Saccharomyces cerevisiae S288C: one gene and its partners. Changing the gene in region 1 together with any one later gene gives a genetic interaction. Each region holds a gene or a part of one and is shown in the gene's direction. Other genes may lie near its edges. The genes, in order: CTI6, SWC5, SIF2 and HOS2.

Region 1 (8,884 bases):
CATAGTCTGCCCTCATTCGGCGTGTATTATTGGACGTCAAGTTACCTTTTCCAAGTGTTTCCCTTTTTTGTCTTTTGAATTTGTCAATAGGGAGTGAAAGGTCCATAGTTCAAGGGCATTCCAAAAGTGAGGATAAAAAAAGCGTAGTCATAAACACTTCAACGGTGTTGCCGAGAATGACGACGGTCCGGTAGAAGGTGGTGCTTTTATCTATGTATTAGTTATTTACTATCTGCGTAACGAAACTATGATTTTTTTTTTCTCTCACCCAAGCCGAAATTAAAAATTCTGTCTTCGCACTTATTCCAAATAGAAAGGGAATGAATCGTGGAACTATTGGCATTGGGATATAGCCTCGATCTACTCGCATATAACGGCTACGGTTCATAGTACAAATCTCAGAATTTTTCAGCAAGCGAAAGGATTTCAAAGAATGTTTTTACAGACTCTCCGCCTAACTATGCCAAGGATGTTTTTGCACATGAAACCGTCCCCCATAACGATAACAAGGGCCTGCACAGTGCCCAGCCTCCTATCTGTTGCAGCTCCGCAACCAGCTCTTGTTGCAGCTAACAGACCTTTGGTTTTTAACAGAGGTTTCAAGGTCAGAACATCTGTCAAAAAGTTCTGCAGTGATTGCTACTTGGTAAGAAGAAAGGGAAGAGTATACATTTATTGCAAGTCGAATAAAAAACACAAACAGCGTCAAGGCTGAAAGATGTAAATCTCTTCGCTGTTCTCCGTTCGGGTGTTTACAAAATATTCTCATTTTCTAAAATCTGTAAATAATACATATCTATAATATTCTTTTATGTATATGTTAATTTTTTGTATCATTTTTTCCAAATTGATAAACCAACACCTCCGATCAGTAACGTTTTCTCAGAATCAGCATCTTCATCATTGGAAATGATTTCTAATGATCCTGTATCCGCCACAGTGGTACGCTTTTTATCTACCAGTGAAAGCTTGCCTGCGGTAATTTCCCAAGCGCGTATTACTTGATCAACCGATGTGGTAATGACTTCTTTGCCACCATTAATCAACATACCGGACGTTATTGTCGAAGAAGCTGCTGCAGCGATAAAGTCACTTGTTTTTAACGTTACTTTATTCGAGTCATCTAATTTCAGGTTGCTTAACCCTAAACCATTATCATCACCCCCTGTCAAAATTGTGGCGGAAGTTCTTGTAGCATTAGCAACATAGTCTAGGGACTTGACACCAGATTGATGTACCGGCAACTGCGCTACAGGTGCGGGAAGATTTGAGATAGTAGCGTCCAGTTTGTGGTCAACCAAATCGCCAGAAATCGGATCAACGGAAAATGGTACGTACTCGGTTATATTATAAACCACTAAATGTCCATCAGTTGGTGAAATGACAACAAGGAGCTCTTCTTTCAGTGCAATAAATACGACGTTGAATAAACAGCACGTCTTATAACGACCTTGCATGATCAGGTCAAACTTATTCTGATTTTCCCTATAGTGCCAAATCTTTATTGTTGAATCTGAATAAACAGTAACTAATAAGAAGTCACCTGACTGTGATATAAATTTGACATCAAAATCCATGATCCTTAGATCAGAATTATTTGTGGATACAGGTAAAGCTTGTCGTATGGTCATATATGGTCGTTTATTATACTTATCGTTCAATTCCCATAAGAATAACTCCTCTCTAGCTGAAGATGATATCATTAGTTTGTGATTTATAAACTGACAACGTTGTAATCCAGACACATGCTTTCTTTGTGTCCAAAAATTCTGCACCTTCCCTGTTCTATTGTTAAAATATCCCAGCTTAATTGTAGTATCTTCAGATGCAGTACAGAATATATGCCCATCCTTAAAATTGTCATTCGTGTTGGTATTTGAAACAGGACAGATTGAAATATCTCTGATTTCCCTTCCGTGTACACCATTTTCTAAAGTTTCAGGCACAATGGAGTTGTAAATTTTCCTTAAATGAAATCGGGATGCCTTAATATACATTAATACGTGGCCATCAGTAATTTTTGCGAGATTCCACAGACGATGGGAACCACCACAAACTTCACTAGCTAGTTCATAACAGTTGGTTTCATTGTAGAGATAAAACAAGCTGGACTTGAACCCATAAGTAATGTATTCACCTTTTGAATTAAAGAAAGCGCCCTCCAAGAAACCTTTCATCATCTTATTAGAATGCAAGACCTTATAACTTAGTCGGTAGGGACCCTCTTCCAAACTGTTTTTCGTCAACTCAATAAATACATAATAGCCATCCCTATTTGTTACTGAGAAGACCGCAGAGTTGTCTTTATCTTCTACAAATTCGATTGAGGTTGTAGTGTCTCCGGGACTTAATCTCCTAATTATGAAGGGCTCCTCGCTCTCATCAAGTAAGTTGTAGATTACTAATGTACTAAAACGTGAGCCGACTAAAATATGATTTCGGAAGGAGGTCAAACATGAGGAAGAAAAATTTTCCGGCTTATTGAAACAGTGCTTGCTTTTAATTTTTAAGTTCTGAAGGCTTATTTCCAAACATACAAACTTCTCTCGAGGATTTGGGGATTGTAAAGTCAATAGGAAGGAGTCATCATCGTATTCTGTAACGAGACAGTTATTTGTCTTAGAAAGCTCATCTAAATGGAATTCTTCGGTCTCAATTATGTCAGCGCTATCTTTGCTAAATTTGATAAGAAGGATGTCACTTTTATTATTGGAAAAGACAGCGATATTTTGCGTTTGAATCCCATTTGTAATTGGATACGAGTTGAATTTTTCATTTGTTAGTAACAACTTCCATTGTTTCGTGACATCACTGTATTTAAGTATTTTACCCAATGAAGTGATAGCAATTACACCGAATGAAAACCATTGAAATCCCTTGATACTTTCATTCTTTTCGAAAATATCGCCACATTGCTTTGCGATATCATCTAGACTGAACGATGTTTCTTCATCGCCGTGTCTCTTCAGTTGAAGAAGATCAATCAGCTTTAACCTACCATCATTCCCGGAGGTTACAGCTATCATTTCGTCGTCTTTCACATCAACGCCCCATATACTCTTGATTAAATGTACTTCGTAAACGTTAGATATGGATAATTCGGCAACGTTTTCTCGTGATTCGATAATGTTCCATACACGGCATGTGCAATCTTCAGAAACACTTATTAGTTTTGAATCATTATCAAAAAACATTAAATTCCATATTCTTGCCGTATGGCTCCAGCCAACAGACAGCTGCTTGCCAGTTTCTAAATCCCACAGTCTAATTGATCTGTCGTCAGAGCAACTGGCAACATATCTTCCGTTGTTGCTTAAATTAACATAAAAGATAGAACCTTCATGACCCAGTAAGTTATGAATTTTTGTCTCCGAGAACAGGTCCCAAATGATAACACCGCCCATTACAGTACCAGCGTTAACATATACTTTATCCGGACCGAAAACTTTAATTATACCGGAATATAGAATAGATCTTTCTCCCCCAAGAGACTTCCTAAAAAGAACTTCACAATTTAAATCACAAATTAGCACTTTATTATAACATGTTAACAAATATATTTGCAAGTTGTCAAAGCTGAATGTAGCACCGGTAATCCAATCTGAGTTAATCCTTTCGAAATCCACCAATGACTCTTTCTTTAAAACGTCTTCAAGTTCCACTATTGTTACTGATCTTGCACCATAGGCCAAAATTTTCCCTTCACTAGAAAGGCTAAGTCCATGAACTTTATTGTAGTGAAATAGCCTACATTTGTTAATCAACGTAGCCGAATGATAGTCATAGACATGGATGAAAGGCCCATAACCAGCTAGAACATAATCATTGTAAAATTTAACACATAGCGCAGGACCATAATGAGACAAGTCCTTCATTTTAATCACTTATTCTTCTTCAATGAGCAACTTCAATTGGCGGGAATGAGAAGCTAAATAACGATGAGGTCCGCTAGCAGAAGTTTTTTCATGCTCATATTTTTCCACTTTTTTTTTCTTACATTTTTTTTTTCAGCAGCGTCGTTTTTTGTGAGACGCCGATGTGTATGCTAGGCTTAAATCTATCATTCAGACCCCAGTGTAAAACATAAGCGGTGAAAAGTACGTAGGGTAGTATACAACTCACCAAAGCACGACTACGTGAAAATGACCCTGAGAGTATCATCAATGTTATCGGCTGTATAAATAATACACCAGAACAAATTCCTCTTAAAGATGTAGGCAAGACCAGACTCAGTTTCTCTGAGCAGTACCTTCAATTTTCAATTTTTGATAGATGTTCGTCACTAATATTTTTTTATTGAGTTAAGTTCACCCACTTCTGGCACTTCTTATAACCTTGATAATTAAAAAGACCTCGGCGGTTATTTTTTATTTTGAGCAGTTATAAAGGGCATTACCCTCATCATCTTGCGGAAATAGGACGGAGCACGTCGCAGACAGGCTTTAACGTAATCAATTAGTTTTGAAAAATTTCTCCGCTATGGGTAAACTAGGTAAACCGCACAGCACAATCAGCTGCATTTTCTATTTTCAATTTTCTATTGGTGGCTTTTCACTGCATGATCAAAAAATAACGTTTTGTTGATTAGTTTTTTCTTTTTTGTTCTTGTTGGTTTTCGTATATGAATTTTATGTAACTGGGTATTTACAGGGGTACAAAGTTCACAACAGAGACCATCAATAGTTTGTTTCCTTCGAAGTTTACTTTGCGTAACCTTACTAAAAGATAGCATAAACATATAGGAGTATAGAGAAGAGTAATGGAATCGACAGCAATAGTGCCTAAAGGCCCTGTTGTGGGTAGTGAAGATATGGAGAAAGCGGAAGTCATTGCTAGTGGGTCCACAGACATTATATCAACAACATCAACAGCGACAACAACGGCGGCGATTGGAAGTGTACAGGAAGAAAGTGTAAAACAAGAAGATGTTCCTATGGAAGGTGGAGAGGGGGAAGTCGAGGAAGAGGAAGGCGAAACTCGCTGTATCTGTGGAGAGCTCGATACTCCAGATGACTCCGGATTTTTCATTCAATGTGAGCAGTGCAGTTCCTGGCAGCACGGTTATTGTGTGAGTATTACTCAAGACAACGCACCTGATAAATATTGGTGCGAGCAATGCAGACCGGAGTTACATCAGCTCTTTACCACAGATACTGGCGAAGCAAGGTCAATCTATAAACCTGTGCAAGAGAAAAGGAGGCAATCAAGAAGGAAGGCACGAAGTGCAGCTGCAAGTAAATCTCATGCCGCCAATGAAGCAGAGAAAAGTCCCAGAAATACCAGCAATACCGATGATAACGTCGACGATATCGGCGACGAAGAAGATGAAGTAGAAGATGAAGCTTCGGCTGTAGCATTAGCCAAGGACGGCAACACGAGGTCAAGTAGAAGGAGGAGGAGGAATTCAATGGATGATGCTTCTACCGATCAGTATTCACTGGATCCTGGAGATAGTGATAAGAAGCTACTGGATAGAAAAAGGGCAACTTTCATGGCAAGAGAAGAAAAGCAATATCAAAGAATGCTTGAAAAAGCCTTGAAAGAAAGCAGGAGGACATCACATCAAGAAGATCCTGAAAGTTATGAAAATGATGCTGATATATACCAAGGTGATACCGACAATCACAACGGCACCACTCGATTACAAACGGATGTTATGCTAACGGAAGGCAAACCGGACTCGGTAACAAATGATGATATGAAAGAAAGCCTACGACCATCGAAAGAGCAATCAATGGAAAAAACAAATGATGTGGAAAAAGAAGCTAGTCAAGAAAAGGAATCTTCTACGGGTTCGGCGCAAGACACTGAGAAAACTGATGAACCCATCCTACCCCTAACCTCAATATCTTCTTCTGAGGATGATTCAAGGAAAGCTAGTTCGAGGGGTTCTAAAAGAGTTTCCAAACCAGCAAGAAAGGGCAACAGAACTCGTCGAAGCAATACAAGTTCAGACACCAACCAAAATAGAAGGAGTGCTGATATAGGTACCGACAAACCAGTAAAGCCCAGATTACCCCCTCAAAGGACCTCATTAAACGAAATGAGAAGAAGGGTATCCGCTATTTTGGAGTTCATTTCTAGAACTCAATGGGAATTGAGTGAAGATCAGTCTGATCGAGAGGAATTTGTACGATTCGTGGAAAACCAGCATTTCGTAGAAAAAGTTGATACGATTTACAACGGTTATAATGAAAGTCTATCAATGATGGACGACCTGACTAGAGAGTTACTACTATGGGAGAAAAAATATTCAAATAACACTAATGCCATTCAATAAACGCAAAACACTGCAATATTATTCTCAACCAAAGTATAACTGTAATGAGGCGAACAAACACATCTATACATATATATACATCTATATGGATATAAAAACGACTAATTCAACGTTGTTTTTATCAACCGAGCTTACTCTTGTACGGGTAACCGCAAGGATAGCTAGTTGCGGATGGTATAGCGATTTGGCTGGCACGATGATTAAGGAATCCAAACATCTAATGGACTAGCACATTCTATCGATTTACGGGTCAGGTAAACATAGATATTGGGATATATCATATATCCTTACTGAGTAACTATAATTATGGTTCATCGAGGAAGGACTTTGAAGTCAGACACTGATGTAACATCTCTTAATGCGTCAACAGTATCACACCAGTCAAAGCCATTTAGACAGTTTTCGACTAGGTCGAGAGCAAAGAGTAACGCAAGCTTCAAAGGTTTGCGTAGAGTTTTAACACATGATGGCACCCTGGATAATGATTATTTTAATAAGCACAACGTTTCTCAGAAATGCAAGAGTTCTGATGCACTTTTCAGAAAGCGAACGATTAGTGGGTTGAATATGACAGCTTTAACAAGAGTAAAGTCCAATCAAGGAAAAAGATCAGCATCCTTTCATAGTCCGGTGCATAATACGCTGCTCAGTCCAAAGAACAGCAGTCATTCTAATACTGGAACTGCTGGTTTCGGCCTGAAACCACGAAGAAGTAAAAGTACCCAATCTGTTCTGAGTCTTCGAGATGCGCAAGAATCTAAAAAGAGTGAATCTACTACTGACGAGGAGGTGGAATGTTTTTCGGAAGACAACATTGAAGATGGAAAGGTGAATAATGATAAAGTAATAGCCGAGCATGTTATGCCTGAAGAAAAAAAGAATGTGCAGCAATTAAATCAGAATGAATTACAATCCCCGGATTCAATAGATGAACAAGAAGAAGATAAATCAGGTACTGATGGAAAGGAAAATCATAGAGCTGTATCCTTACCATTACCTCATTTATCTTCCAATAACTATTTCGGAGAATCAAGCCATTCTATAGAACATCAGAAAGATGGAGAAACATCTCCAAGCTCAATTGAAACAAAACTGAATGCAACAAGTGTAATCAATGAAGAGGGGCAATCAAAGGTGACGAAGGAAGCTGATATTGATGACTTGTCCAGCCATTCTCAAAATTTGAGGGCCTCATTGGTTAAAGCGGGCGATAATATATCAGAAGCACCATATGATAAAGAAAAAAAAATTCTTGATGTTGGTAATACCTTAGCTGCACATAAAAGTAATCAAAAACCAAGTCATTCAGATGAACAGTTTGATCAGGAAGATCACATTGATGCCCCTAGGAGTAATTCATCAAGAAAAAGCGACTCGAGCTTTATGTCTCTTAGGAGACAAAGTTCTAAACAACACAAATTATTAAACGAAGAAGAAGATCTAATCAAGCCTGATGATATTTCTTCCGCTGGTACCAAGGATATTGAAGGGCATAGCTTACTGGAAAATTATGCGCCTAATATGATTCTCTCCCAGTCGACTGGAGTTGAACGTAGATTTGAAAATTCATCATCCATCCAAAATTCGCTTGGGAATGAAATTCATGACTCGGGTGAGCATATGGCTTCAGGTGATACTTTTAATGAACTGGATGATGGCAAATTGCGCAAGAGCAAGAAAAATGGTGGAAGATCTCAACTTGGCCAAAATATACCGAACTCTCAGTCTACTTTCCCCACCATTGCTAACATCGGTAGTAAAGATAATAATGTACCACAGCACAACTTTTCGACCTCCATATCGAGTTTAACCAATAATTTGAGGAGAGCTGCTCCTGAAAGCTTCCATGGTTCAAGAATGAATAATATTTTTCACAAGAAAGGTAATCAGAATCTACTTCTGAGATCCAACGATCTCAACAAAAATTCTGCAGCCCCGGCCTCTCCATTGTCCAACGAACATATTACATCTAGTACGAACTCCGGTAGCGATGCAAACAGACAATCCAACTCAGGTGCCAAATTTAATAGCTTCGCCCAGTTCCTTAAATCAGATGGGATTGATGCAGAATCAAGAACACAAAGAAAATTATGGTTGCAGAGGGAGAATTCTATTATGGACTTAAGTTCACAAAATGACGGTAGTGACTCTATCTTTATGGCAGGAAACATTGATGCGAAAAGGGAGTTTGAGAGAATATCCCATGAATACTCTAATGTAAAAAGATTTTACAACCCATTAGATGAAGCATTGTTGAGAGTACAACCTATAATAACGGGAAATGCAAATAATATCAGGAAAAAAAGCCATAACGATGCTCAGTCAATCGCACATTCTAGCAGTGATACAGATCATAAGGATGAGGACGATTTGCTCTTTACTAACTATGACAAAAAATTTGATGATCTTTATCCACATCTTGCAAGTGCAAAGATTCAGGCAGTGTTGTCCGGTATATGGAAAAGCGAAAGTTACTTATTTAACAAGGATGTTAATCCAATCAACAAGAATAGGACAACGAGTACAAACCACAGCGTTGGCCACACTGCTTCACAGAATGCACGTAACTTGCTGAGGGGCCCGATGGGTTCCAGCACGACTTTG
Region 2 (8,203 bases), on another chromosome or scaffold:
GGAGAAGACAACAACGGCATAACAGATAAAAGTGAAAAGTAAACCCCATAAGGTACCCTTAGGAATTGATTTAGAGGGCTTTCTCAATTCACTTGACATTCCTGCGCCCGCGAATATACCAGCTGTAGCAGGAAAAAAAACGCCAAATAAATCATTGAATGTTTCCTTACCTTTGAGTAACGAACCTGCTGCACCTTTTGTTAAGTGAGGGAGCAGGTTATCATGAAAAGTTTGCCATGAAGGACCTGTATAACTGATACCGCCTTCAGTGAATGGCGATCTTATCAATGCAGAAAGTGGAATGGAAAATATAGAAGCTGCCAGTACCAAAAAAAGAATATTCCCTGCTCTTGACACTGTTTGCGAGCCAACAAAAGCCACAGAAAAACATAAGAAAAGAATGACCGTGGCATATGTAAATTCGTGCCAATGCCCTCTTGGTAGTAGCTCTCCCAAAGCTGCAGGTGGCTCGCCTTGAGCAGAATAACCCAAGTTATAGAGTAAAGGTTCGATAATACCCACTGCGTTCATACCTGCATTGAACACCTGCCCTAAGAAAAAGACAAGCCCAATGGATCCACCAAATTCAGGTCCTAAACTTCTTGAAATCATATAATAAGCACCCCCGCCCCTAACAGTCCCGTTTGTAGATATAGCAGATATACTTAACGTGGTGAGAAGATTAATAGTGTAACTCAATAGCAGAAGACCGATGGTGCATATAATACCTAACTGACCCAAAATGAAGCCAAAACGAAGAAACATAAGGATAGACAATACGTTTAAAGCAGTAGGCACAAATACCCCATCGTATGTTCCCAACTTATCTTTGTTTGGGTTATCAGGATCATACTTAGAGGAAACTTTTTGGCATTCAGGGGTCGCCTGATAATTGAAATATGTTTGACTTATTCTCCTTGCAGACAACAGTGAAGAAGATTCATTTGAAGAAGATATTGCCGACGATGGCCGATGCGTACCTGGAATCTGATAAAACCTACTAACCATTAATCCTACAAGAAAGGCCTATTCTTAAAGAGAATTGGCTGGCAAAAACACTGTCTCTATCACTTCTTCGACAACAAGCACAACCATTTCTTAGATTTCCTTGTTACTCTTTAACAACAATGTTGATAATGAATCCTACGTTATCAGTTGCACAATTATCAAAATCTTCTTGTCACCCGCCCGCGCCTTGCCTATAATGAAAAAGGGTCAAATAAGAGCAATCTTGATCGAGAAAGCTTCCAGATTAGAAACAAAGAAAAATAGGAAAAATAAGCCGAAGTAAACGTATATTAGTTGAGAGTCTCCTAATGTCATTTTCCAATTCTAAAGACAAGTCCGTTGTTGCCGTCTACAAGCTGGTCAAAGCGCCAATCTACTCTCATTGCTTTTCTCAAGATAAATCTATTTTAGCCGTTACATGCGAAACAGATTGTCTTGTCTATAGAGTTTCAAACAACACACCTCCCGTTTTATTCGCAACGTTGAAAGATCATGATAAAACCATTACTGCTGTGGACATTTCCATACATGGTCGTATTGTGACTTGCTCCCAAGACCGTAATGCTTACGTTTGGGAGCCATTGAGTGATGGGACATACAAGCCCACGTTAGTACTTCTTCGTATTAACAGAGCAGCTACTTCAGTTACATGGGCACCAAATGGTTATAAGTTTGCTGTTGGGTCCAGTGCTAGAATCATCGCTGTTTGTTATTACGAACACGAGAATAATTGGTGGGTATCCAAGCACATCAAGAAACCCATCAAATCTACCATCAATTGCCTGTCTTGGCATGCAAATGGAGTCCTATTAGCTGCTGGTGGTACTGATGGGTTTATGCGTGTGTTCAGCGGGTTTATCAAGGGTTTGGATTCCAAGGAATCCGTCGCCGGATCACCCTGGGGCCAGAAATTCCCTTTTGGTTGTTTAATCAGGGAGTGGTATCAGGGTTCTTATATCCATGATGTGGAATGGAGAAGTCAGATGGAAAGAATTGCTTATGTAGCGCATGATGGTACTTTGAATGTTGTCGATTACCAATCTCCAGTGCAATCTGTCAATGCTCCGGAAGGTTTACCTTACAGGTCCTTAGTATGGATAAACGACCACGAGATTGTTTGTGGAGGATACTCTTGTCATCCGGTATTGTTCAGCGAAGCCTCTGAAGGCTGGAAATTTGCGAAGAATCTAGACAAATCAGACAATAACAAGTCTTCTGCCTTAACTGCATCTGGTAATACAGACGAGCTGAGTGGTAATAATGATGAAAGTTCAACTTTCGGTATTTCCGCATTGAGAAAGTTTAAAGAATTAGACTTGAAAGGTAAAGTTAGCACAGATGTCCAAGAAAGTGCACATGAAAACGCCATTGTGGAATTAAGACCTTTTGCGGAATCCAACGGCCAAATCACACAAGTCTCTTCCTGTGGGTTAGACGGTAAGATCGTCATTTATACAATTTAAATATACATACGTATATATATATATTGTTATGTGTATTCCCTACCTCATAATACACCTTGAGTTTGTATTGTTTTTTTCTTCACTTGGCATATACAGACTATATTATTACAACTCACAGCACAATGTAGTGTACCGTAAAAAATAAAGCATCAGAATCAATTTCTTGCACCAAACCATTATTTAGAATTGCTACCCAAAGACTCCTGTTCTTGCTTTCTTTGCAAGATAAGCGAGTACACGCTACCTTTTAGCAGTGTCCCAACTAAACCAATTTTGACCTCTATGTCCCTCATCTCCTGTAGTATCTCATCTGGCGATACAGTTTCTTGCTGTGAATGCTGTTGCCTGTGTTGCGAATAGTTTAGTTCTTTTATAGTTTCATCCAGAGCTTTTAGATCTAAAGAAAGCTGTTTGTATTTGTCCAATACTTCTTGCTGTAAAGGTGAAAGATTGTGTTCCATACTGTGACTACAACGCCGTGTATGTTTCACAGCGACTTTGACTGGCTACTGTAAGCTCTTCTTTTGTATTCTTTGGAATAGTTTATTTACATGTAATTACTGTAATAGCGCGCAGCCGAGCTAAAAAAAAAAAAAATACAAAGCTTTTGATCAATTTGTTACAAAGAGAAATAATTCCGCGTACGTATTTCTATTGATATTTATATATCTACATTCATTCAATTTATTACCTTTTCTTTTATTTTTTTTGCCTTTTGTAGTTTCTGTATTTTTATTTTCTATGTGTTTTTATTGACTAGCAGTATATTTAGAGGGGCGACCTTCTTTTACGTTCAGCATTTGATCTATCAATTTCAATTTTATTGCTAATCAACATAATAGCAGCTTGGGACGCCATGAACGTACCTCTTATGGTAAGTCTTCTCTCCGAAGAGCCTTCTACAGGATCTTGTATAATAATTGAACAACCTGTGGATTCCTTGACCGAATTTATGTGCTTGCCATCTTTGCCAATGACATTTCCGACAAATTTCTCATCTATGAATATCTCTTGTTGTACAAAGTTCATTAATAAATGGTTGCCGGGTGCCGGACTGATAACAGGGCCGTCTAAGACTGTCACATTAGGGATAACGAAGTTCGGTTGAAAGGCCGTTGCGTTTGCAACGCTAGCAGTAGTATACTGCGGTGTGGCCATACTCAACAAAGTAGATGATATTGGTAAATTTTTGTTGGGTTTGTATGAAAGTAGTTTATCGCTTGGATGATATTGGTGGTTTCTTTGATGGAAAATGGTGTTCGGTTGGCTATGGTCTATTAATACTGAGTTAAACTGAGTTGGCTGATAGTATATGGACCTTTTCACATTTTTCTGCGGAGATTCCATCTGAAAGTTTAGCAATGTTTGACTAATGTAGAAAGTAGCAATATGGATAGCATCCGGAACCCCGTTAATGGTTAAAATTCTATCGTTAGAAAGCAGCAATTGATTCGGGGACGCGAATAATTTTGCTGCACTCAAATCCTCAATTTCTCTTAACCGAGACCCACGTTTGCCAATTATACATCCCATAAGATGATGAGGGATCAATAGGTTGATAGAAATCTCAATGTCTTCCCCGTTATCTTCGTTACCATGTTCTTCAAGCAGCGCTCTTACTATCATGCCGTATGCCTTGGCTACATCATCGCAAGTACCCCTCACGTAAACAATTCTTTCAGGAACACCTCTGATATTATTTGATATGTTTATTCTAGCAGAGGTTTCGGATTTTATTCTAGATATAGTGGCGCCCTTGTGTCCTACTATCAGTGAAGCGTGTTTGACTAAGCACAGCATTCGTAAATGTACATCAGAGGGAACATTGTCGGGGGAATCGTGGTCGTTGTCAGAGTGGCTGTCTGCATCCTTCAGGGCCACGCGTTTGATTTCTGCTTCCAGTTGTTCCTCGCTGGTGTCTTCACCCTTTTTCCTTTTGAGCGTGTTGGGAGAAACGAGTACAGTAGTTGGTGTAGTAGTGATTGATGGTTTTGTAGTCTCTGTGGACATAATTGAGCTAAAGAGTATTACAGAAAGATTATTTAATGCCGCGCTGGACGATTAAAATTGTTAGAGTGGATGTGGCTATGGATAAGTTTGAATATGAAAAAGGTTACTTATGCGGCTAACGACTAGGTGCGTATTTATCGTTTGACGAGTATGTACGTGTTTTCTTTTGTATCATGATATTTCGTGTAAGTACCATATCGGGGAAAGACAAAAAAAAGTGAATTAAAGAGCGAAGTTTAAAGATGATGAATAGGATTAATCGACAAGTAAGAAAAAAGACGAAAAGGCGTAAACTGGAATAATATTGTTTCAAGAAAGAAAACCCACTAGCCTATAAATGCCAGAAGTAGAGACAAAGATTATACCAAACGAAAAGGAGGACGAGGACGAGGACGGCTACATAGAAGAGGAGGACGAGGACTTCCAGCCTGAAAAAGATAAATTAGGTGGTGGTAGCGACGATAGTGATGCCAGCGATGGCGGTGACGACTATGATGACGGTGTGAACAGAGATAAGGGTAGAAATAAAGTGGACTATTCGCGTATAGAGAGCGAGAGCGGCGGACTGATCAAGACTAGAAGAGCTCGGCAAGCTGAGGAAGAATATGCGAAAACACATAAGTATGAATCGTTAACTGTTGAATCGATCCCTGCAAAAGTAAACAGCATCTGGGAGGAGCTACAGGAAGCTAGTAAGAACCGTCTTTTGAGCAGTTCAGGGAAAGTCGGCTCTGTTCTCGACGGTTCCAAGGAGGCTAGGTCGACAACGGCCGCGCAACAGGAGGACAAAATCCTCATCGAAAGAAACTACAAGTTTGCTGGTGAAACTGTCCATGAGAAAAAATGGGTTTCACGCAGCAGTGCGGAGGGTCAAGAATATCTAAACAGTTTGAAATTTAAGCAGCAGGCGCCTGCTGCTCCTGTTCAACTGGAAAAAGCAGTTAGGACCAAGTCCAATGAAAGCCGGCAACACTTGCGACGGCCACTGAAAAGGCCTCCATTGTTGGAGCAGATCATTTCTGGCGGGCTACGACCCAAGCTAACGACATTAGAAAAATCTCAGCTGGACTGGGCTAGTTATGTAGACCGTGCTGGACTTAACGACGAATTGGTGCTGCACAACAAGGATGGGTTCTTGGCCCGGCAAGAATTTCTGCAGCGGGTCGGGTCTGCAGAGGACGAGAGATACAAAGAATTGCGCCGGCAACAACTTGCTCAGCAGTTGCAGCAGGATAGCGAAGCTTCATAGACAAATATTACATGTATTAAATAACATGCTTTTCTGCTCAAATTTTTTTAACCGCCGAGGCCTGCACACTTTCACTACGTGTATAACGATGCTGCAGACAAAGTAATGGGGTGTATGGGTGTGGGTGGCAAAAAAAACCTAGCAACGCTCTATGTTTCTTTTCTTTTTTCTTTCTTTTTTTTTTTTTGCCGTTTCCGATGGGCCACTCGGTGAAAACATATAAAAAGGGCTCTACATTCATTTTTTCATCGATGAGTACTTTACTTGTTATCAGATTTATTCATTTTGTTTCTACTTGTTTTTTTTTTAAATCCCCACGAATCTCTTTGCCTTTTGGCTTAGATCAAGTGTAGTATCTGTTCTTTTCAGTGTAACAACTGAAATGACCTCAATGAGGCTCATTACCTTTTAATTTGTTACAATACACATTTTTTGGCACCCAAAATAATAAAATGGACGGGAAGAGACTTTTTAAGCAAGTTGTTTTCCGCTAATGTCAGGTCTCACTACTTTTTGCTGCTATTTTTCTTCGCTCATGGTTTCTTCATAAGGCGTTTTTATGATGGTTTTTCGAAATTGGTTTTTGAGACGACGGTTGCTCAAGGTTATTGTTTTTGTTTTCTTCTGGTTGTTTTCTATTTTCTTTTTTTTAGCTTTCTGTTTCTCCCTTAGTTTGGCTTTTTGCTTCATACTCTTCCCTGTCTTTCCGAGCCGTTTATGTCCAACGCGGGATTTGGTTTTTCTTTATCGATGGGAAGAAATGGTGCTATAGTAGGTTGGGAGATAATATTTATGGTATGGGGTGCTAGTGCGGATGGGGCGCTCTTATTGTTGATTTCTTCGCTCGTCTTCTTTTTCTGGTGGCGCTGCAAGAGGAAGTTTTTCGACTTTGTTATGATTTTTGGTTTGCAAGGAAAGGTGTCTTACGATTCTTTTTTTGATGTAATAGGATAAGCTTGCTTATCCCCCAAGTATCGGCCAAAGTTGTTGATTTTCCTTTTGAAGTGTCCTCGGTTTGAGGGGGTGTAGGGTGGGGTTGGTCTACAATAAGAGTGTTCCATTGTTAACGTGCTGGCGTCTTTTACTATATTTTTTTTCCCAGTTTATTTTGTGCTTATTTTCTCATTGAGGAGAAGGAGCTCTTCTCGCAGGATATAAATGGAGGTTTGCTAAAGGGGAGGAGATGTGTTTGTGAGAATACTGCTGAGAGAGTTCTGGAAGAGAAAAAAAGGAGGCAATGGAAGGCGTTTGCTGGGAAAAGAGAAGAGCCATGACTGCATCTGTTGTTTCAAGGCCAGTTTTATTAACCGCCTATGTCATAGAGGCGTTTTTTTTGGAGGGATTTGAAGAATGCCGGCGGCATCAAGAAACGGACTTGATGGTTGACGCCTGTTTTTAAAGTTAGAGACGTCGCGACCCTCGCACTTGTGGAGTCGTTCTTGACTTTTACTTTGGTCGCTTGATGTTTCTCTCGTCTTCCCGTTCGCTCTTTTATTTTTTTATTTTTTTTTTCCTTTGACTTCGCATGAATGAGTTCATTCATGAAGCGAAAGGAGAGATTCTATATACCACGCAACCAAATATGTAAGTATATAAAATATATGTATGTGTGTGCACTAATTGGCGGCATACTCTTTCTTGACCCGTTGTGATAGGGCCTTAGCTGCTTCCCATTGCCTGTCCCGAGTCCAGCGACTCAAGACGTTGGACGTGCGCACGTACTCACACATGGCCGAATTGGCCCTTACGAATGAGCTCTTGGCTACCCCTCTTGCTGCACTCGCCACACACCATAACTGGTATAATTCGTTTCTCATGCTAGTCTCTTTTTTTTTTTTTACTTGTTTCCTTTTCCTTTGTTGCTTATCCGCTTTCTCGTTCTCTCCTCTGTTCTTGCCTCAACTCCTCAAATCTCTGCTGTCCCACTTACGTTTTATTTTTTCACCGTCCCCTTTCCCTGCCCTACTACCCCGGGCCAGCGGCCAATGACGCCGCCGCTACCTCCTCTCCCGTTAATCGTCCCTGCGTATATAAAGTGTCGATCAATGTGCCCACTTCAACCGAAACCGCCGACGTAACCCTATTCCAACAATTAGAAACATAACATCTACCTCCAGCATCTCATAATATGTCTGCAACGTATGTACACTAATATCTGAAACGTATCGCCTAATCTTTTCTCCCGGTTCTCTTTTGACTAACGTATATCATCTATGACCATCTTTCTTTTCCCCAGTGCTAAACACGACAGTAACGCTAGCCCAAATTCTGACTCTGAAGACGGTCACCACCACAACAATAAGAAGGAATGCGCTATCGAATATCTGAAGGCACGGTTAAATAGTGCATCAGCAGTCGCTTGCGGCTACCTCCAAGCTTTTGTCAGTAAGACGCAAGACTTTGCCAAAGTATGCTTTTTAGAACTTCAGAATCCCGTTGTCTTGGTCAACTTGTTGCTGCATTCTTCAGTGGT
Region 3 (4,726 bases), on another chromosome or scaffold:
AAAAGATATTGATCCATTGCGCCTGTTACATTTCGGCCAGGAGTGATTGAACCCCCCATACTACGTCTTTTGTTTTTGTTAGGGCTTCTGTTGTTTTCTCTACCTGGGGTTTGTTGCGTAGATTGCAAATATCTAAAGGACTCTCTAATACGTTTAGAGTTCTCCTCTTCTACATGGAATATGTCGCACAAATCATCCTTAGCCTTTCTTATAACGTCCAACAACCTAGAGCATTCGTCTGCGTCTCTACATTCATACAAACTTGAATTCGAATTGCTAAACTTGAAAAGTAGCCTCTTAGTGGAAAATTCCTCTTGCGTGACAGTGACATCCTTTAAAGGATAGCACTGGCTTACTATAAAGTCATTTTGCTTATCTCTTGATTTATCGGCGATAAGTACCAAATCATTCAAAATGAAAATCTGTACCATCTGCAAGGGTTTACCAGTGGTAGTATTTAATTCCATCCAATTGGCACTATTCATTAAAATATGTCTTCCTTTCGTAGAATTGATAAACTTCTGAGCACCTTCAACGTTCTTAAACAGCTGATCCAGTTCCGTATCCCAAAATTTCTCTAATATCAAGACGCTCGATCTGTCCCTCCTCATGAGATTCCCATTTTGTCCTGCTTTCAAAGGCGGAAGTAACGCTGGACTATTAGAATGACTTTCAACATTGTTAAAATTGCCTTGTCTCTCTTGATCTATTTGATCCTGCAATTGTAACCTTTTTTCAGCTATTTTGGTGCACTGATCCAAAACCTCGTTTAAATCATTTATATTTGCTCTAACCCTTTTAAGCTCCAACATAGCAACATTTAGGTCGTTGTTTACCGTCATGATTTCGTTATATGATTTATTGATATTTAACTTTACTTCTTCTTGGACCTGTATCGATAAATCTGTTAAATTTGAGGTAAATTTATCAATAGTAATGGCACTCGCATTGCCTAGTTTATCATGAACAAAATCTTTAGCATTAAAATGCGGGTTTGCCAACATCTTTCTTAGCGACGTGCTATTATTGAAAGGATCATTACTGCCGGAAGGATTGACAGTATTTCGCATTGCTGATCTAGCAGGCACCTTATTATAGGAGCTGTCGTTCAGGGAGAGATCGGCAGTTGAAAGATTTAAACTGTTGGAAGGGCCTTTAGAGCTTACCGATTCGTTCTCAGTGGTGAAACTACTATTATTATGACTACTATCCACATTATCATTGGGAACTATCATGTTTGGCATATCAGGTAGGGGCATTGAGTAATCTAGTGTAGGTGGAGCATAATTTGTATTATGAATTGATAGTCTTCTCTGCATTGAAGTTGCTACCCTACTTCTCTCCCTTGCATTGATTGTTGGTAGCGTATAACTGGTAGCCGGATCCTTGAGATCACTATAAGGGTTCTTTTTTGTTTTTTGTTTAGGCTTAGCAGGCGATGGAGGTGTCTTTTGCTTAGCAGGAGAGCTTGCAGACTTCTTTACATGCTTCCAATTGTTTCTGGCCTTCTTCAAAGAAAACTCAACCATTTTCACAGTACAAATATTTCAACTTTCAGTCTCTTACCTGGTCTAATATGAAGGCTTTTTGTTCATTCGGCTTTGCTCAAGGTCTTACAAATATACTATTAACTGCAGTCTCTAGTCTCTTTTTCCAGTCATCTATTTTCATGGAGCGGAACTTAGCAAACGAGAAATAAACAAAAATGATTAGGAATGTATTCATGTTGAAAAGGTTATGAGATATGCAAGACCATTCGTTTTGATTTGCAATTAGTGAGAACAATTTAAACACCTTGGTGCGAAATTGAAGGTTTTTTTTTCCAAAGAAGTGTACAGCCCACACTAACAACTGCTAACTCAGATAAAAATAACAGAAACAAAAAAAAGGTAGGGAAGGCCCATCACACGGAAAATGAGTATAACAAGTGAAGAACTAAACTACTTGATATGGAGGTATTGTCAAGAGATGGGACACGAGGTGAGTGCATTAGCATTGCAGGATGAAACAAGAGTATTGGAATTTGATGAGAAGTATAAAGAACACATTCCTTTGGGTACACTGGTGAATCTAGTACAAAGGGGAATCTTGTATACAGAAAGTGAGTTAATGGTTGATAGTAAAGGTGATATCAGCGCTTTAAATGAACATCATCTTTCTGAAGATTTCAATTTGGTTCAGGCGCTGCAAATAGATAAAGAAAAATTTCCTGAGATCTCTTCTGAAGGAAGGTTCACTTTGGAAACCAATTCCGAGAGTAATAAAGCAGGTGAAGATGGCGCTAGTACTGTTGAAAGAGAAACCCAAGAGGACGATACTAATTCTATTGACAGTAGTGATGACCTAGACGGATTTGTCAAAATACTGAAGGAGATAGTAAAATTAGATAATATTGTTTCCTCCACTTGGAATCCATTGGATGAATCTATACTCGCATACGGTGAAAAAAATTCTGTTGCAAGACTAGCGAGGATAGTAGAAACCGATCAAGAAGGGAAAAAATACTGGAAACTCACGATAATAGCGGAGTTGAGACATCCTTTTGCTCTGAGTGCAAGTAGTGGTAAAACGACGAATCAAGTCACATGTCTTGCTTGGTCACACGATGGTAATTCAATTGTCACGGGTGTAGAAAATGGTGAGCTAAGACTATGGAATAAGACGGGGGCACTTCTGAATGTTTTAAATTTTCATAGAGCACCTATAGTATCCGTTAAATGGAACAAAGATGGAACACATATCATATCCATGGACGTGGAAAATGTCACTATACTCTGGAATGTTATAAGCGGGACCGTCATGCAGCACTTTGAATTAAAAGAAACCGGTGGCTCATCCATCAACGCAGAGAACCATAGTGGCGATGGTTCACTTGGGGTTGACGTTGAATGGGTAGACGATGACAAATTTGTCATTCCTGGCCCTAAAGGTGCTATATTTGTATACCAAATTACAGAAAAAACGCCCACTGGTAAACTTATTGGACACCATGGACCTATCAGCGTTTTGGAGTTCAATGACACCAATAAACTTCTACTTAGTGCCTCAGACGATGGTACTCTAAGAATATGGCATGGCGGTAACGGCAATTCTCAGAATTGCTTCTACGGACACTCACAAAGCATAGTATCGGCATCATGGGTCGGTGATGATAAGGTAATATCCTGCTCGATGGATGGCTCCGTTCGCCTATGGTCGCTGAAGCAGAATACGCTATTGGCTCTATCAATCGTGGATGGTGTCCCAATTTTTGCTGGAAGAATATCACAAGATGGACAGAAGTACGCAGTTGCTTTCATGGATGGGCAGGTAAACGTCTACGATTTAAAAAAACTGAACAGCAAGTCACGAAGTCTTTATGGTAACCGTGATGGGATTTTGAATCCATTACCAATTCCCCTCTACGCTAGCTACCAAAGCAGCCAAGACAATGATTATATATTTGATCTGTCATGGAACTGTGCGGGAAACAAGATTTCTGTAGCATACTCGCTTCAAGAAGGTTCAGTTGTAGCCATATAATAACTAGGTACAGTACATAAACAGATGAATTTTATCATTCTTATTGTTATTTCTTTGTTTACAAAAGGTGAAAAGTGAAAAATTTCGCAATGGAAAACGTCGCGGGCCGCCTTTGAGTGACGTTGTGCAGGAATCTCGAAGAGTCATCACTTTGAAGATAACGGCCGCTCGCGATGAGAGAAGACAATGAGCATTGCTTTTTTATAATTTTTTATACCTTGTGTTAAAATAAGTTTCTTTAATTAGTTTTCACCTCTTGGATGATACAACTGTAATTGATAAATAGGGGTAGCCATAAAGAACAGAAAAAAGCGGCGCAATAATTTCGTGTATTACAATTACAGTTAGTCATGAGTGAAGAATTTCCTACGCCGCAGCTTTTGGATGAATTGGAAGATCAACAGAAAGTTACCACGCCGAATGAGAAGAGAGAGTTAAGTTCTAATCGTGTGTTGAAGGATATTTTTGCGGGTACCATCGGTGGTATTGCACAAGTTCTTGTAGGGCAACCGTTTGATACAACAAAAGTTAGGCTTCAAACAGCCACCACAAGAACAACAACGTTGGAGGTATTGCGTAACTTGGTAAAGAATGAGGGTGTGTTTGCATTCTACAAAGGTGCGTTAACACCGTTATTGGGTGTTGGTATATGTGTCTCAGTACAATTTGGTGTGAATGAGGCGATGAAAAGATTTTTCCAAAATTACAACGCTTCTAAGAACCCGAATATGAGCTCACAGGACGTAGATCTTTCACGTTCAAATACTCTGCCACTATCCCAGTACTACGTTTGTGGGTTGACAGGTGGTGTAGTCAATTCATTCTTGGCATCGCCCATTGAACAAATAAGAATTCGTTTGCAGACGCAAACATCTAATGGTGGAGACAGAGAATTCAAAGGTCCTTGGGACTGTATTAAAAAATTGAAAGCTCAAGGTGGATTGATGAGGGGTTTATTTCCCACAATGATAAGAGCCGGACATGGGCTTGGTACATATTTTCTTGTCTACGAAGCATTGGTTGCCAGAGAAATTGGTACGGGACTAACAAGAAACGAAATTCCTCCTTGGAAATTATGCTTATTTGGTGCATTTTCCGGGACAATGTTGTGGTTGACAGTATACCCATTGGACGTTGTGAAATCCATTATACAAAACGATGATTTACGAAAACCTAAATACAAGAATTCCATTTCTTACGTAGC
Region 4 (8,366 bases), on another chromosome or scaffold:
TAGTTCAAGTGTAATGACTGGTTCTTACAATAACAATTTCATGATCTATCCTAATGTAGTAACTTCTGGTGATAATGATAATGGCATAGTCAAAACTTTTGATGAACACAACGCACCTAATAGCAACAGCAATAAAAATATCCACAACAGCATACAAAATAAAGATTCTAGTAGTAGTGGCAACAGCCACAAGCGTAGGAGTAACGGACGCAACACAGGCATGGTGGGAAGTAGTAATAGCTCTAGAAGCAGTATAGCGGGAGGAGAAGGAGCAAATTCGGAGGACTCGGGAACCGAAATGAATGAAATCGTGTTACAAGCTGACAAAACAGCGTTCAGGAACAAAAGATACGGTTCGCTAGCGCAAAGGTCTGCAAGAAATAAGGATTGGGGTGACGATATTGATTTCAAGAAGAATATTTTACATTTCTCATGGCATCCAAGAGAAAATAGTATTGCTGTTGCAGCAACTAATAATTTATTCATTTTTTCCGCATTATAATTATAATAATTCCTTATTTTCCCTTACTTTTTTTTATCCCATATCTTCCCCACATACTACTACTGTTTTAATTGAAATTTAAATTGAACTTGAATTCAAATTTTTTAGATTTAGATTTGCCCCTCATTGAAAATCTTTCTATCTTTATTTTTTTATTTTATCTTCTCTACTTATATTTTTATTCTACTTCAAGCGTGTTTTATTATCATTATTCTGAGACTTATACCATTTTCTTTCGTTTTTTTTCTGATTAGCTATCTTATAAACACTGTATCAATTATTAATCCGACATCCCTTTATCAGGACTTCTTTCATCACTTCACCAAAACGCGTGGAACATAAAAATAAAACGTCTTAAATTCTTCTTCATAGGTGCATGTTTATGTTTTTAAATGCTTATACATTTGCAATATAATTATATATATATAGATGTTTAAGAACGGAATGATGCTTCGCCGCCCAAAATACCTAGTACCTTTAGTTCCTATCAAAGGATTAATCTTTTTTTATTTTGAATTTTTTTTATCGAATATAAAAGAAATAAGTAAGAATTAGTAAAATTATCATAAATAAAAATTTTTCGAAAAGTTTATTCTCACTTAATCAATTAATTAATCGTCGTGCTCGATGTGCCTGTTGACAACAGGATTCCAGAATAATGTCTTATCACCGTCACCCCAGAAAAAAGGCTTAGACCTGATATTCATAAACTCGTAATCCCTTGGCCATTCGGAGTCTGGCACATGTTTCAAATGTTCACGATGCTCAGCATGCTCCTTTTCAACAAAGTATGTGTTCACAGCTGTTAAAGCAATTGCTGGTAGGGCGACCCAAACTGAGATTTTAACCCACATATTAGATGTGTCCTTCGCATGCTTTTCAGTGGCCATTAATGATTCTTTAAATTTTTGAGCTGCCACTTTATCTGGTGGGCCAAATGCAGGTTTCAAAGCATTTGGGGGTAATGAAGATGCATATCTCTTAGCACACTGTCTAAACATTTTTCTATTGTTTGTTATTTGTATAACTGTAGAACTGTAGTAATATGATTTTAAATCTAGATAAAACACATGCGATGTGTAGTGAAAACGTTCAAGGCAACGTGTATGTTTGTTATATTTAATGTATCCCGTCACTCATCGTGATCACATCCCAGCTGGGGGTTATTTTTCGATTCTCTTAGACCGATACTCCCAGTACCGCCTCTCATTGGTGGGAAAAAAAATTACCCGAAATTACTATATTGTGTCAATACCGCACCATATCACTACATTCATAGCGGTATAATCGAAAGGATAGCGGCGTTGGGTTACTACTATCGTCTACCTATTCAGCAGGATAGCTTACTCTGTATTAGCAAATAATAGTCGTTCTTCGCTATTCCCACAGTTTCCAGTAAGAACGATTGGAGTAGAAAAAAAGAATGGTAGAATGCGCCATGGGAAAGAACCGACCAAGAGTGGGAGCAAATAAGTCAAGTAATTACATTAGTAGTGTTTAATGGTTGAAAATATGGCCAGAACTAGTATTAGCTTTCTCCAGGCGACAACAATTTTTAAACATCCGGGTAATAAATTGTTCCAGTTGATGTAAAAAAATACACGGACTCGGATAATAATTATTGGACATAAACCATATCCTTCTCTATTCCAAAGTTTGTCTAATACAGACCAGGAAACCATTTACTTCCCGCTGCAGTCTTTTTTATGACCATCTTTTTTATGCAATGCTATTAATGTTTAAAAGGATTATTTAACGCTTTACTGAGCAAAATATAGGTTATTTAGTGTTTGGAATTGTTGTTTTTGTTGCTGTTTGGATTCAAAGGGAGTATGTTTTTGATTCATAGGATTCTGCTTGGCCTCAGCATAATACTTACCACTCCCCATATCCATATTATTCCAATACTGCTGCTGATGCTGCTGCTGTAATTTTGAAGGTTGCTTTTTGTCGATTTTTTTAGTACCAGTGTGGCTGGTTCCAGTTTTGCTCTTCATAAACTCCTGGTACTTCCTCTCGACATCCATTTCGTAAATGCAATTTCCTGTCAACTGGTTTCCGATGGTAAACCAGCCAGGCCGCGTATTGTGATCCCTTCCGAATATCTCTAGTTTTCTGGCATGGGTGCCTGCCAACCGTTCTGCTATACCATACAGTTCATCAGGCTTTCTACTAGTCTCTCTGGTCATTGATACGATCAAATCGACGTCAATATGTTTGTTGATCCACTTTGGATTACCCTTTAAGCCCACCAATAAATGCTCCTTAGAATGATTTAACCAATGACCCGTACGACCTGTAACAATTGTTCTACCCAGTTGGTTTGTCTTTATCCATGAAACTTCATTTATCACGTTGTAACCCCAGTTATTCAAAGACTCTTTACCCAATTCTATAGCTCTACCCGTCACCCAAAGAAAAATAATACCTTCATCTTGTAGTTCGTGCAAAGGCAAACCTAATAGTTCAATATCGTTGCAAGTACCGTATGGTAGGTTCATATGGATATTCCATGCAGGATCTGCAATAACTACCGAAAACTTTCCAAGAACCCTAAAATCAAATTTCCGCACATCGCAACGGATCCACTGTGCAGGTAAAGCCTTTTTGATACAATGTGCGGAGCAATTGCCCAGAGTATAAAATGGAATGGAAACGTTTGACCGTATTCTTTTATTTTCACTCGCAGTTTCACGATCAGCTCGCTCTTGCAAGCATGACGGAATATATTGCAGGTAATGAATGTATCGACACGTATTTAATTTATGACAGGTATCCAAATAGGAACAATCTCCTAACGAAATATCAGTTTGTGGTTTGATATTAGGGATAAAGTGAATTTTTGATTGAATGCACTCAATTAATCCTGGGTGATTTTCCTGACATGCGGATATTTTGGACCATTGTAAAGAAACGATTTTGTTATTGACAATGTACACCGAGGTGGACAATAGAGATGCATGCGAATAGTCACTACATATCGGGATGTATTCAATGACCTCGGTCGTGTATTTGGCTCTTTCTTTAGCAAGCTGAAAAGATGATGGTTTTTCCCTCAATAAATTTTGTAAGCGATTGCTCAGTTGTTCACGTGGTAACCCCTGGTTGCTGACGTTAACGTCCCAGTTCAGGACTCCAAGCAGTCTACCCAGCAGTTGGTCTTTTTCCGAATCAGCTTCCGGTTTTGTTGTTAAACTCGACACTTTTTCTTCACATGAAGAACTGGACGATTTTAATGTATAGTAGAAGGCATGGAACTTGTTATAGAGAATTTTCAAGGAAAAAACGTCCAGGTAAACAATTTTTTCTGGCCTATCTGCCACTAATAGATTCTGGTCAAATTGAATGGACTGCGGCGTTGCAAATATAATATCCTGAAGATCATTCCAAAACTGTTCAAACTGTAAGACCTCGTCTTTATCGTTTCTCAACTTCTGCATCTCATCATCGTATCCGCCACTGATGTACAGTGAATACACATCTTTGAGCTGTCCAGAAAGCGGTGCTCTTAGGATGTCATCATAATTCTGGATCAGAAAATGTACTAGTTTATCGTTAATCATAGCCTGCTTACAACTTTTATGAATTCAAGTCTGAATGCCAATTCTTATTTTTTTCGAAAACCCCCAATGCTAACTTATATGGTCCGTTTTCTTTACTGTTATCCATCTCCCTTTCCTATAGCTCCAGCGGTTACCGATCTTCCAGAATGCCGGGGAGATCTTTCTCTTTCTTTGTTTATAACAAGTTTCACAAGCACGAAAGAAAGAACAATACTGTACGCCAAAAGCCGCCTAAAGACGCATATTCCCGTCAATTTATGTGACCGGTACCACTATATACCTAAGGCACCTCTATACCAATGTAGAATGCCCTGTTTATACTCTATATAGAGGATTCTCGATGTTCTTTGGGGCATCGTTAAACGTGATATTCCTACTATGTTACTAAATGTTGAACTGAAAGCATCTTGAAACGATTCTAATCAGTTTTAGGTGTGTCGCCAATGTACAGTTATAGAAAAGACGCCAGATTACTCAAGTACGTTAAAATCAGGTATCAAGTGAATAACAACACGCAACATGTCTGGAACATTTAGTTATGATGTGAAAACAAAGGAGAACGAACCATTATTTGAGTTTAATTCTGCTTATTCTCCCAGGGTATCGTATCATTTTAACTCCAAAGTTTCACATTACCATTATGGTGTTAAGCATCCAATGAAGCCGTTTCGGTTAATGCTAACGGATCACCTAGTTTCCTCTTATGGATTGCACAAGATTATGGACCTTTATGAAACAAGAAGCGCTACCAGAGACGAATTACTACAATTTCACTCGGAAGACTACGTGAATTTTCTCTCGAAGGTTTCACCAGAAAATGCAAACAAACTGCCCAGAGGCACACTTGAAAATTTTAACATTGGAGACGACTGTCCTATTTTTCAAAATTTATATGATTATACAACACTATACACTGGTGCGAGCCTTGACGCCACCAGGAAACTAATCAACAATCAATCGGACATAGCGATAAATTGGTCTGGTGGTCTTCATCATGCAAAAAAGAATAGTCCATCTGGGTTTTGCTATGTAAATGATATTGTGCTTTCTATTTTGAACTTATTACGATATCACCCAAGAATCCTTTATATCGATATCGACTTACATCACGGCGATGGTGTCCAGGAGGCATTTTACACCACAGATAGGGTCTTCACGTTGTCTTTTCATAAATATAATGGCGAATTTTTCCCAGGAACTGGTGATCTGACAGAAATTGGTTGCGACAAAGGAAAACATTTCGCATTAAATGTACCCCTAGAAGATGGCATAGATGACGACTCATATATAAACCTTTTCAAGTCAATTGTAGATCCTCTAATAATGACTTTCAAACCAACACTTATTGTCCAACAATGCGGTGCGGATTCCTTAGGTCATGATCGCTTAGGATGCTTCAATTTAAATATAAAGGCACATGGAGAATGCGTAAAATTTGTCAAATCATTTGGTCTACCAATGCTAGTAGTGGGCGGTGGAGGTTATACACCTAGAAATGTATCACGGCTTTGGACCTACGAGACAGGAATTTTAAATGATGTCTTGCTACCAGAAGACATCCCCGAAGATATCCCATTCCGGGACTCATTCGGGCCGGATTATTCACTTTATCCTATGTTAGATGACTTATACGAAAACAAAAACAGTAAAAAACTACTGGAAGACATTAGAATACGATGTCTAGAAAATATCAGATACTTGCAAGGAGCACCAAGTGTCAGAATGGATGCTGAATGCATACCGACACAAGATATAAGTGCCCTGACAGAAGAAGAGGATAAAATCATTCAAGAAATGAATGAAGAAACAGAAGCAGACAGTTCAAATAGGCTAGAAGAAATGGAAAAAGAAAACAGTGGATTGATTGCCTTTTCATAGTTTAAGAGTTTGCTATTCGGTTAATCTCCCGTTTTTTTTTTTTTTTTTTTTTTTATTTTCCTTTTTTTTTTTTTAATGTTTTTAGCATATTATGTAGAGTGTTAAGGCCTTAAAAGTTATTTGCATCATTGTTAAAAATGACATGTATTGTATAAGAGTTCGGCTCTTCGATGCCGTCAGAAACATTTTTGGAAGGTGCACTCCGTATTCGAGACACTTCTGAAACGGACAAGTCACCAAACTACTCTGAAAACAACAAAAAAAAGCCTTTTCTTATAATTTGAAAGCTTCTCCCGCAGCATTATCGATATCGTGAAACTTCCAAAATCTTTCTTAATTAAACCGGACATCAGTGTCTACAACATTAGAGCAAGTCACTCAGTTCATGTAATACATCTGGACAATTATGTCTAATAAAGAGATAACTTGTATCAAACCGTTTAAAATTATTGCTCTAATTTTATTGATAGTTCTAATAATAAACCTCTCTTATAAGTTATTTCTGAGACGCTATTTAAAGTCGACAGTTATTTGGTGTTTAGGAATCGCCAATACAGATCGTAACGATATGATGTGGTGGCAAGTCTCGCCACTATTAGAGCGCTGGGTTTGGCAGTTAGTTGACAATTATGAATCCGGGTACGAATAATTATCAAGCCCTTATTAGCTACAATGCTGGGAGCAATAGATATATAAATAACCCTTATGCACAGCGGAAGACTTCAAAATATCTTTGTCTTTTATATCATTATGTGGTATGTATTATATAACGAGAATAATATATCAAATACAAAAAGTAACGAGGTTACCACATTGAATTTTCTTCAAATATCAGTGGTTAATTCAACACCTCCGACAGCCCATATTTCTCTTTCATCTTCAAATCTGTCACTAAACATTGTTTCCGCGTCTCCTCCGGCAGCAATCCTTTCTCTTTCGACATTTGCTAACCTTTTACCAACCCTCTTGGTATAGTCCCCAACAGACCGTAATTGAATTGTAGTACCTGTGACAGTTTCGATGCTGTTACCGCGATCTGAAATTTTAGCAAACCACTCGTTGAAAGTATGCATGTCATCTTCTTCAACCAATTTGAACAAAGCTAAATATGCTTTTTCTGCTGCGAGCTTAATTGGGATAACAGGATCACGCAAGCAAGAAAATACAGATGGTCCTACTACATCGAAGTATTGCTTAATGCACTCGTCAAATTTGAATCTGGCTAGTGTTCTTATAACCACCAAGGCCAACCTTCTTACATCCGTAGAATTACTGGCTGGTTGTAAGACAGCTTTGCTCAACTCATTAATTAACAGATTGATGTTTTCATCGCCAATTTTGAATGGTTCTGCAGCATCCTTTTTAACAAATGGAGACCTCTTTTCTCCTTCTAATAAAAGTAATTTACCAGCAGCAATGGTACCATTTTCTCCGAAGTAAACATCAGGGGAACGGATTGCATTCAAAATGTAACTTACAAATTCGTCTATCAAGCCCGTATTGAATATATGTGTTGGTGCATCTTTCAAAAAGGAATTCAAAGTCAGAATAGCAAACTTACCGGTTTCTCCATCTAGATCTGCATTCAAAACCTTGTCTTGCAATATCTTGTGGGCTTCGTCGTTCGACAAAATCTCTGATAACGATCCGATTAATTTAGCGTAAGCAACTGCCAATTTGTCATTGCTACCCAACATTTCTTCCTCAACTAAATTGACAATGTTTGTCTTAGAATTTTCGTTTAATTTGGAACCAGCCTTCATAATAACTTCCAGTAAAGCTTTAAGCATCGCAGTCTTGACACCTTCATCTGTGGCTTGCTTGGCACCTGTCACCAGTTCAATGACTAGAGGGTCAACACGAGGCTGATGTTCAATCAGGGCACCAAGAGCCTTTGCGGCGCGGAGACGTAACGTTTCATTGGTAGCGTCAGACAAGGATTTAACAAATGTTCTTTGTAATTGAGGGATAAAAGGCCTCAAGAACATTGGAATCTTAATGAATAGCACATTAAGTGCAAATAAAATTGCTGCTTTGATATCACTACTAAATCTTTCACCCACGACACGAATTAATGGACCAGTAATTACGCTCACAAATGGCTTCAAGTTAGCGGCAGGGGTCTTCGAAACAACGTCAGCAATGGCTAATGCAGATTCTTCCCTTTCATCATTCGAACCATACATCAAACCATGCAAGAAAATAGGCAAAACACAGTTAGGGCCTCTTGGAAGCTTAAATGCAGCGACATCTTGACCTTGCCTGCCTGTTAATGCCAATGACTGTTTAGCAGGCTTAACTAATTTTTCTAAGGTGGGCTTATCAACCTTCTTCAACAAAGTAGACAAAGCATTGAAGTTACCATTAACAACCCTTTGATCTTCATCATCTAATGATAAAATTGCGTGAGAGACAAAGTTCGG

Evidence for each region.
Region 2: mutations in CTI6 (region 1) and SWC5 together harm fitness more than expected from each alone (negative genetic interaction), as found in Saccharomyces cerevisiae (5 studies listed by BioGRID, with this or other methods).
Region 3: mutations in CTI6 (region 1) and SIF2 together harm fitness more than expected from each alone (negative genetic interaction), as found in Saccharomyces cerevisiae (4 studies listed by BioGRID, with this or other methods).
Region 4: mutations in CTI6 (region 1) and HOS2 together harm fitness more than expected from each alone (negative genetic interaction), as found in Saccharomyces cerevisiae (4 studies listed by BioGRID, with this or other methods).

Annotation. Positions count from the first base shown.
Region 1 is NC_001148.4:198,662-207,545, forward strand, and holds CTI6 (Cti6p), read left to right. Parts: upstream 1-4,759; coding exon 4,760-6,280; downstream 6,281-8,884. Other genes in the region: mitochondrial 54S ribosomal protein bL36m RTC6, read left to right, coding at 434-715; tRNA (34-2'-O)-methyltransferase regulator RTT10, read right to left, coding at 834-3,875; TCO89 (Tco89p), read left to right, coding at 6,587-8,884. UniProt on the Saccharomyces cerevisiae protein: Component of the RPD3C(L) histone deacetylase complex (HDAC). Responsible for the deacetylation of lysine residues on the N-terminal part of the core histones (H2A, H2B, H3 and H4).
Region 2 is NC_001134.8:679,706-687,908, reverse strand, and holds SWC5 (Swc5p), read left to right. Parts: upstream 1-4,818; coding exon 4,819-5,730; downstream 5,731-8,203. Other genes in the region: VHC1 (Vhc1p), read right to left, coding at 1-1,008; ARC40 (Arc40p), read left to right, coding at 1,317-2,471; DAD3 (Dad3p), read right to left, coding at 2,648-2,932; telomere maintenance protein PBP2, read right to left, coding at 3,240-4,481; COQ21 (Coq21p), read right to left, coding at 7,347-7,547; OM14 (Om14p), read left to right, coding at 7,859-7,869, 7,967-8,203. UniProt on the Saccharomyces cerevisiae protein: Component of the SWR1 complex which mediates the ATP-dependent exchange of histone H2A for the H2A variant HZT1 leading to transcriptional regulation of selected genes by chromatin remodeling. Involved in chromosome stability.
Region 3 is NC_001134.8:445,795-450,520, forward strand, and holds SIF2 (Sif2p), read left to right. Parts: upstream 1-1,914; coding exon 1,915-3,522; downstream 3,523-4,726. Other genes in the region: exocyst subunit EXO84, read right to left, coding at 1-1,529; YMC2 (organic acid transporter), read left to right, coding at 3,873-4,726. UniProt on the Saccharomyces cerevisiae protein: Antagonizes telomeric silencing in yeast. May recruit SIR4 to non-telomeric sites or repression.
Region 4 is NC_001139.9:137,945-146,310, reverse strand, and holds HOS2 (histone deacetylase HOS2), read left to right. Parts: upstream 1-4,584; coding exon 4,585-5,943; downstream 5,944-8,366. Other genes in the region: protein phosphatase 2A regulatory subunit CDC55, read left to right, coding at 1-502; COX13 (cytochrome c oxidase subunit VIa), read right to left, coding at 1,114-1,503; IME4 (mRNA (N6-adenosine)-methyltransferase), read right to left, coding at 2,263-4,065; YGL193C (uncharacterized protein), read left to right, coding at 4,084-4,395; YGL194C-A (uncharacterized protein), read left to right, coding at 6,350-6,592; GCN1 (Gcn1p), read right to left, coding at 6,768-8,366.